Danio rerio: one gene and its partner. The protein of the gene in region 1 purifies or fractionates together with the protein of each later gene. This does not show direct contact. Links are inferred from orthologs where the notes say so. Each region holds a gene or a part of one and is shown on either strand. Other genes may lie near its edges.

Region 1 (4,560 bases):
AGTTCTGCATGCAACACCTTTTTCAATGTACGAGTTTGTTATCATCTTTTGTGTTCAAAACAATATTTAAAAAAAGAAGCTGCAAGCATGTAACCATTGACTTCCATACTAGGAAAAATAAATATAAGGATGTCACAGCTAAGAAATATCTTCTTTTGTGTTGAGAGAGAGAGAGAGAGAGAGAGAGAGAGAGAGAGAGAGAGAGAGAGAGAGAGAGAGATTTAATTTTATTGCCATTTCAGCTTCTATGGCTATGTCATGGCAAAAATACAATACATCAAGTTTATCACATTTTATAAATACCAATTTTTTTATAATTATAAATATATTCTAACAATTAAAAGTAATCAACAGCAATAAATAATGTCCACGGTAAAATAAATAAATAACAATAATGATAATATATAAGATAAAAATCTAAAACAGTTTATTAAGGTTTCCTTTTGATAAAAGTTGTACAATTTAGATGGGTTTTTTTGTGTTCATCTAAAATCAGATGGTCAATCAAGTTTGGAACAAGTGAAGGATGAGTAAAAGAGAACAACATTTTCTGTTTTGGACGAAACAATTGCTTTAATAAGTAATAAGTAAAGTAAATCTTACTCACACTTGGTCACGATGCCTTCCACACACACAAGGTTTCCCAGAAAGCGAGCACTCAGAGTACGAGGAGACACATGTTTGTTCCCAAAACTGCCCTCGAAACCAACATGAAACTCCTCAAACTGCTTAGCATAAGTGGCATCTATTGAAGCCACGAGATCCTTCAGGGCTTTCTGAAACGCCACCAGCTCAGCGAAAGCATTCTTCAGTAATCTATTAAAAAGAGACACTTAATCAGATCAATAAAGATTCAAGGATATACACTCAAAATTACATTTGCCGCTTCCACTACTTATTTAAAATAAGCTGAAACAACACAATTCAAGCTTTTTTGGGGGAAACCTAACAGTTTTATGTTAAATCAATATCCATTTGTAAAAACTAATAGGTTAACTTATTTTCTTCGAGATGTTTTAACACAAATTGATTGTGTGAAATCCAGCATTTTTTACAGTGTATGGGAGAATGGGGGCAACATGGGGCAGTTACAACAAGACTTATTTCTCCATTAAGGAATGAGCTATGGAGGGATGATATTCATACTACATATTGTCAGTTGGATCCTTCTTCCATCCAAGAGAAATCAGCCATATGTGACCATTTCTTCAGTCTAAAACTCATTTTAGGTATTTAAAAAAAAAAAAAAAAAAAAAAAATAGTTTTTTGTAATGATCAGAAAATTTCTCATACAGCCCAATCTGTTTTTGTGAAACATTATTCATTTGTATAATTTAAATCACTGTTTTCATAGCTTTAAATAGGTATAGCTATCAAGCGTTTGTAACAAGCTATTGTATCTCTCTAGCATGGAATGTTTAATCAAGGTTGACAGAGTTGCTGAACATGCTTCTGTAACTGTCCCCAATTGTTATAAAATTCATTTGAAAGCTTGCCATATTAACAAATGTACAATTTTATTGATCACAGTTTTAATATAATTTGAAAAAAATATTTGATTAATTAATTCATGTCAACATTCTTAGTAGTAGTTTGGTAAAGGTTCAATCTTTCAGTAAAAAAAAAAAAAAAAAAAAAAGTTCAGTTTTTTTAGGCCTTATAATTGGATGTTGCTCGTTTTTTTTTTTTTTTTTTTTTAAGGTTTTGTATTTATATGGCCAACACATTTAATAATTTAACCAATTTTCATTTAGTGGGTTTACCAAAAAATAAAATCCAACTCGAGGTTTTAGATTTTTTTTAAATTATAATTTGAATGAATGTTGCAATTGTCCCTTTCTTTAAGTAATAAATGAAGAATTTATTAACATATCTACACATATTATAGCAATATGGGTGCCTGTCCAACAGAAGTGAGTTTATTGTTTTAAAATTTTGGGGTTCCACAAAAAAAAAATAAAATTGTCTTCGAGAAACTGAAAGAATTGCAAAAAGTGTTGCAACTGTCCCCACTCTCCTCTACAGAGAATTTTCATCACACATCATCAGTCAGCCATATTGGAAACACAGAACGTAAACAATGTGACTGAACTGACTGAGAATCATATTATTTGCTTACTACTGCTGAAAATGATCAATTGTTTTGGGCTTTGCTATTAGATTGTATTAGAATACTGAAAGCCATGTAAAGTCAAGCAGAAGAGAGAAAAAAAAGCTGTCTGAAGAACAAAAAGTGTTTGTGGTTGACCAAACTAATTCACGATTTCCATGGCAAGAATCTTGATAACGTTCATGTTTGTTCTTATAATTTATGCTCAAGCGAGTGTAACATTAGGCTAATCTGGTCAAATGTATCCTTTACCACATGTTAAATCAAAATGCTACACCATATTCTGCTTTAGTAAGTGATTTAGCAGCTTCCATGTTTTTTTTTTTTTTTTTTGTATATTTTAGACAGCAGAGCAACATATAGTACATCAACCATGCTGTTTACACCAGAGTTTCACATGTATCTGGCCACATGTTTGTTACTGACCAAATCCCGAAGAGCAAACAACGTTAAAGAAAAAATCTAAAATTGTCAAAAAAGCAAAATATGAAACAAAATAGACAACTTTTAATCAAATTAATCACTTACTCTTTAGCTCTTTTTTCACTTTTTCTTCTCAGATCATTAATGTTGACAATGAGACGACACTGTCCATCAGACACCATACTCCTGACCTTTTCATGGTAGATGCCCTGATCTTGCTGTAAATTACAATAAAAAAAGATTTAGTTTGACAGACAAAAAACAAAGTTTATACAGTTCAAAATGCCCACAAGTCAAACACATAAAGATTATTCAAATTATTCACATCATCATCCAGAAAGTCCAGATATTCCCTCTGTGACTCTCTCAGCTCGAGGTCCTCTAACCCAGTATCCATTTCTCCTACACGCGCATCAGCATGTGCATTACAATATTTTAAAATAACATTCACAGTTCAACAAAAATCAAATGCACAAACATGAAGCAACCAAACCAAGCTGGTGCAACAGGCCTGACAATCAATTATGTTAATTAGGCTCATTAACTTGAGCATGTGATTATCCAACTGATTTGAATAGAGCTACCCCTATTTCGAACCATGCTTTCATTATGGTAAAAAATATAACAGATAACCATGTGTAGCCTATATCACGTTTTTACTGTAAATACAATGGTTAAACTGTGGTTAGTGTAGCAAAATCATGAATAATTCGTAATTATCATGTTTGTTTGTTTTTTTTTTTTACAAGTAACCATGTTTTATTTGTGTAATGGTAGCTGGACCCTATTAGCAAAATAGATTCTCCTGAACGCTTCTTAAAATGCTCGAGTCAAAAGGACAATGAATGCGCTAGACCCCCTTTGAATTATTCCATTCTTTTATACTGTATTTGAAGCTCTTACAGTGCTCTTCAGTTATTTTACTCCGAGCTGCTTGATACTGTTGACACTCACACATACTGTAGTTGCATAATACGCACATAAATTAGTTCATTTTCGTTTGTTACGACATTCCAGGACGAAGCCTCAGGCTACGGCTCATATGGTTTTATAAAATATTCATTCACGTTTTGGACGAATCTTCCTTTGCTCGGTTCTCTGCAAACAAACTCCTGAAGTGTCTGAAGGCGTTCCTCTTCGGTGACTGACTTTACCATTCAGCAAATAGGATTTGAGTGCGCGCTGTGAAGGCGTGTTTCATTGGTTAGACCTGAACGATTACGCCCCTCTCTATATGTAGTTCCTCAAGCTGGAGAAAAACTGCTTGTTCAGCTCTTATCTGGTAATATATCTAATGTCTGAATCCAATATTTTACATACTAATCAGTTAAGTAAGGGAGCGGGGCACAAAGTAACACTTTTTGGCTTTGGTCAAATAATAAACAAAGGTTTGGGGTTAAACAAACCATTTGTTTTTTTACCAACAAAACACAAGCCTCTCCTACAAATGAGCTCTGGTTGTATAATCGCCGGACTATTGTTTCTTTGCAGTGTTGCCAAAAGTGCCAGGAGTAAAAATGTTACTATTTACCTCACTTCAAGTTGTAACAGACAGGGTTAGTTGTAACACATGCTTAAAAAAAGGCAGATTACACACAGTTTATTTAAAAATTTAAAGTTTACTTTAAATAGTAGCTATATTTTCTCAGTACCTAGCTCAATTTATTTTTTATTCTACACAGCACAGTATGTTTTCCAGAGATGGGTTGCGGCTGGAAGGGCATCCGCTGCGTAAAAACTTGCTGGATAAGTTGGCGGTTCACTCTGCTGTGGCGACCCTGGATTAATAAAGGAACTAAGCAGTCAAGAAAATGAATGAATAGCACGGTATATTTATTTATTTATTGGATAAACACATTTGGATTATACAATGCATTTATTTGTATTATTAGCAGTAAAATATTTTTTGTCTATCAAAAAAAAAAAAATTTCATTTCATTTAAATAGTTCTCAACATTACACTCAAAATTATATATATATATATATATATATATATATATATATATATATATATATATATATATATA
Region 2 (3,824 bases), on another chromosome or scaffold:
TGTTTGGAGTGTTTGTTTACACTCTTACTGGCAGAGGCTGTTTGCACTGACTCTGCCCACTAGTGTGCGGTGTAAACAGTTAAAATGAATGTCAATATTTTCTTTTGTCAGCAACAGTGTGTAAAAAGTAAGATGGTTGTAGGGGAAACTTGATGCAACAGACTTTTAAGTCTTAGCAAAATGTCTTAACAAAAATGAATAAAATGTAGGGCTGGGCTATTTGGCCTAAAATCAAAATCTCAATTTATTGAAGATTTTAACTCGATTTGCGATTAATAAATGATTATTTTATTTGTTTATTTTATGCCCTCATATTTCCTTGACAAGTTTTGTTCAGTAAATATGCTCACATATTACATACCAGAGGTTTTTGAATGAATGGTGCATTTGTTAATTTTAAAATAATTGAAAATGTCATCTCAATGCATCTTCCATTCATCGTCAATGTAGTCTAAAGTAAGTTTCAAGAATGAGTCCATCGTCCTACTTGAGAGAGATCAGATGTGGCTGCAAAGTAGCCACAGAAGTATAAATCAAGGCTTAACCGAGCGGATAAAGAAAATTGATGATAGTAAAATGCTACAAAAATACAGGTTTTTTTTTTTCCCCCATGGTCTTTAAATTTAATATGATATGAATTCTGACTGCAGAATTGCAAACATACCTACTGGAAATCAGGGATTTGAACTTAAATATCTGGTAAAATAGATTTAAAGACAAAAAGGTACTTTAAAATGTATAAAATTCATTTGCCTAATGTCTATGACTGTCTCAGATCAGGCATGATCATTAGGCTTTAGATAAACCTGTTCATGCAGCTTGAGAGTGTTGTCTAAACATCGTATTAGTCATTTATAAAGCCTTTTAGACTTTAACCATTGAAACCTGTAGTTTTAAACAGTACTTTAAAAGATATATATATACAGTAGCTGCTGCACAGATATGCCATGACTGCATTTACAAAAGTATGCTTAAATACTGGGAGATGGTGTAGATCAGAGCAGAAATTATTTGGTCAACAACACAATTTTAACTTAACTTAAGAGGATCATCAATACCCTTGACATTCTGTGTTAACATAAGCACTCATTATCTGGCCTTTCTCAGAGACAATTGCATGTCTAAAGGAAGTGTAAACATCCTTTTCTGCAGCGGCTGGCATTTCCTTTGTATCATGATGATGTGTTTTCTTGCGGATTGTTCAAAACCAGGTTTTGTGTGCTGTCTGTCCCTGCTGTAGGTGTGCGTAATATCACTGCGCTGGGGAACCTGATCTCCTGGCAGAAGGTTGATTACGACTTCAACTACCACCAGATGGAATTCCCTTGCAATATTAACGTGCTTATCGCGTCCGAGGGCCGATCGCTCCTCCCGGTAAGAACATCAGGAGTCGCTTTCAGTCTTTTACTATTCAAATATTACCCTGATGTGTTGGGGTGAATTAGAGAGACCGGAATCTTAAATTCCAACAGGTGAAAATGACTTGTGGCTGAATGCCTCTCCCATAGGAGTTGTTTCCATCCGGCCTAATATTTCCATTGCAGTCCAGAGGGCTGCTGTCAGCTGCCCGGCTGCACGCCAATCCTAGATTCGCTGTGATGCTAACAGTCTGTGGAATGTGCTGTGCTATTCCTGTACTTCAGCTCTCTCTAGTTGCCATGGTGGCAACTCCAGCACAAGGGCATCAGAGAGAGAGGGGGCAGGACAGGCCACTTATTTAATGGCACCCAGCTTGATGCGCTGTATTTTTACAAAGTTTAAAAAAGCACTGATGGTTTATTAGGAGTAATTTCATGACTCATTAATGGCTTCTGACATTTCTGCACAAGAGAACTTGAAATATCAGAGCTCAGTGATTTTGAAAATGAAAGGAGTCATTAGAAAAAGCATTTCACTGAGATTTCTGTGGCTGTTTTGCAGTCTGACTGTCAGGTTCACTTGAGGGCCTCTCTGAATCCACCTAACCTGGAGGAGTATCTGAGCGCGGTGCAGGTGGCACAGGTTCCATCCCAGCTCAACAAGTACCGTGTTTACCTTAGTGTGGCGCGGGCTCTGAACTACACCATTTCAGATGAGATCACAAAGGTCAGCGTTCTGTTCAAAATGTGTGTCTGGGTGTTTTTTTGTTATGGTTTCTTGTCTAATGTTGTGCGGTTTACCTACAGGCTGTGGAAGAGGACTTTGTAGATATGCGAAAAGATGATCCTCAGAGTATGTCAGCAGAAGACCTTCATAGACTGCTGGTTGTTGCAAGGTGAGGTTCTTATTCAGCAAATGTGATTAAAAATGGGTTGCTTTTTTTTTTATATAAAAGAAAAAATGATAAGTTTTATTAGTTTGATTTTGATCAAATGGGATACCATTAAAGTGATAGTTTTATAGTAATTAATTTTTTTATAGATAGTAAAATTTTGTCATTGTTTATTCACCCTTTTCTTGTTTAAAACCAAATACATTTTTTTTCTTCTGTTAAACACAAATGAAAATGCGCTTAAGTGGTACCCATTTAGTACTTCTTTAGTCGTTTTTGTCCTACTATTGAAGTTGATGGGTCCCAGCAACCTATGGCAAGCCAGTTTGAGTTTAAAGGTTCAGGACACCCCGGAGAATTTCTTTTTTATATTAACAGATGTGTGTGTGTGTTGAGCATCAGTTAAGACAATGTTAGCACCTGTCAGCTTTAATTGTGGGGAAAACTGGATCATTTTGAGCTTTTGTCAGCTAATTTCAGCTTCCGGGTTTAAAATGATTTTTGGGGTGGGATCAAAATCGGCGACATAGCGCAGTACTGCAAGTGCAATGATGACGCGTCGGTTTCTCATTATTATTCATAGCGGAGTTTTCTTATCCTATGAGAAGAGCCGGTTGCTTAATTATTCATGAGACCTGCCAGACTTGCCAGTGTCAAGCCCGAGCTGAGAGACACGGAAACCACGGCACAGTATTTAGCCGTTCATGAAGGCTCATATGTGTTTGTTTCCATGATCCACGGGGTTTGTTGCATGTTTTCCCAGCGATCTTGTCAAGGCCGATCATACAGCAAAGCTGTGTGTGTGCTGCTAGCATTTTTGTCGGGAGAGCAGCACGAGAATTAGAGAATGGCAGGCGCTATCTTTTATCAGGAGTTCGTCCACATTCAGAAACATCGCCGTGCTGCTGTGTTTGCCTAAATCCTTCAGATTACCAGCAGGGTTAATGGTTAAAATAGACAGGTCAGGAGACCTGCTGCACTGAGTCTGCTGGATACGGGGATTGAGGGAGAAGTCCTCATTTATAGTGTTTACATGAACACATTTATCTTTATAATGATATAAATTGTGGTTATGTGTATATGAAATTACGGATAACAAATGTAGCAGGGCATTAAATCACTGTTCATTTCTTTGCATTTTAACTTTGTAAACTATAAACTCATGCATCTCCTCACGGTTTATCTCATTTTGTGAGCTAACTGACAACAACAGTTGTTCGTTCACGTTCTCCCCTGCTGGCTACGCCCACTCCTGCCCGATGCTCGCAGAGCTCCATGCCCATTAATCATGCTTCTTTTGAAAAAATTCTGAAGTAGACTTTAACCGAAAGTGGGGTGTGTCATTGCCCTTTAAAGGCCCGTTCACACCGAGACATTTTTTGCTCACGTTTTCTGTCAACGTTTAACGCCTCGTGACTAAATAAAGCCTGTCAATTTGATTGTGCACACCAGCGCGCAAAACGCCAGGCGCAAAAGTGTCATTTTTAAAAAAATGCCTCATGCTTGTTTTTTTGTTTTGACGCGCGGCGTCAAAACCTTCTCTGCCAATCAGATCGGCACTTTTGTTCACGTG

Evidence for each region.
Region 2: the proteins of mcm3l (region 1) and mcmbp purify together in Homo sapiens (affinity purification with mass spectrometry; 10 studies listed by BioGRID and IntAct, counting the BioPlex papers as one, with this or other methods). This does not show direct contact. The link is inferred for Danio rerio from reciprocal best matches to the Homo sapiens genes MCM3 and MCMBP.

What each region holds. Positions count from the first base shown.
Region 1 is NC_133195.1:6,684,953-6,689,512, forward strand, and holds the start of mcm3l (MCM3 minichromosome maintenance deficient 3 (S. cerevisiae), like), read right to left. Parts: upstream 3,050-4,560; 5' UTR 2,931-3,049; coding exon 2,859-2,930; intron 2,752-2,858; coding exon 2,639-2,751; intron 817-2,638; coding exon 608-816; intron 1-607. UniProt on the Homo sapiens protein: Acts as a component of the MCM2-7 complex (MCM complex) which is the replicative helicase essential for 'once per cell cycle' DNA replication initiation and elongation in eukaryotic cells.
Region 2 is NC_133188.1:28,756,514-28,760,337, reverse strand, and holds part of mcmbp (mini-chromosome maintenance complex-binding protein), read left to right. Parts: intron 1-1,240; coding exon 1,241-1,374; intron 1,375-1,920; coding exon 1,921-2,085; intron 2,086-2,165; coding exon 2,166-2,254; intron 2,255-3,824. UniProt on the Homo sapiens protein: Associated component of the MCM complex that acts as a regulator of DNA replication.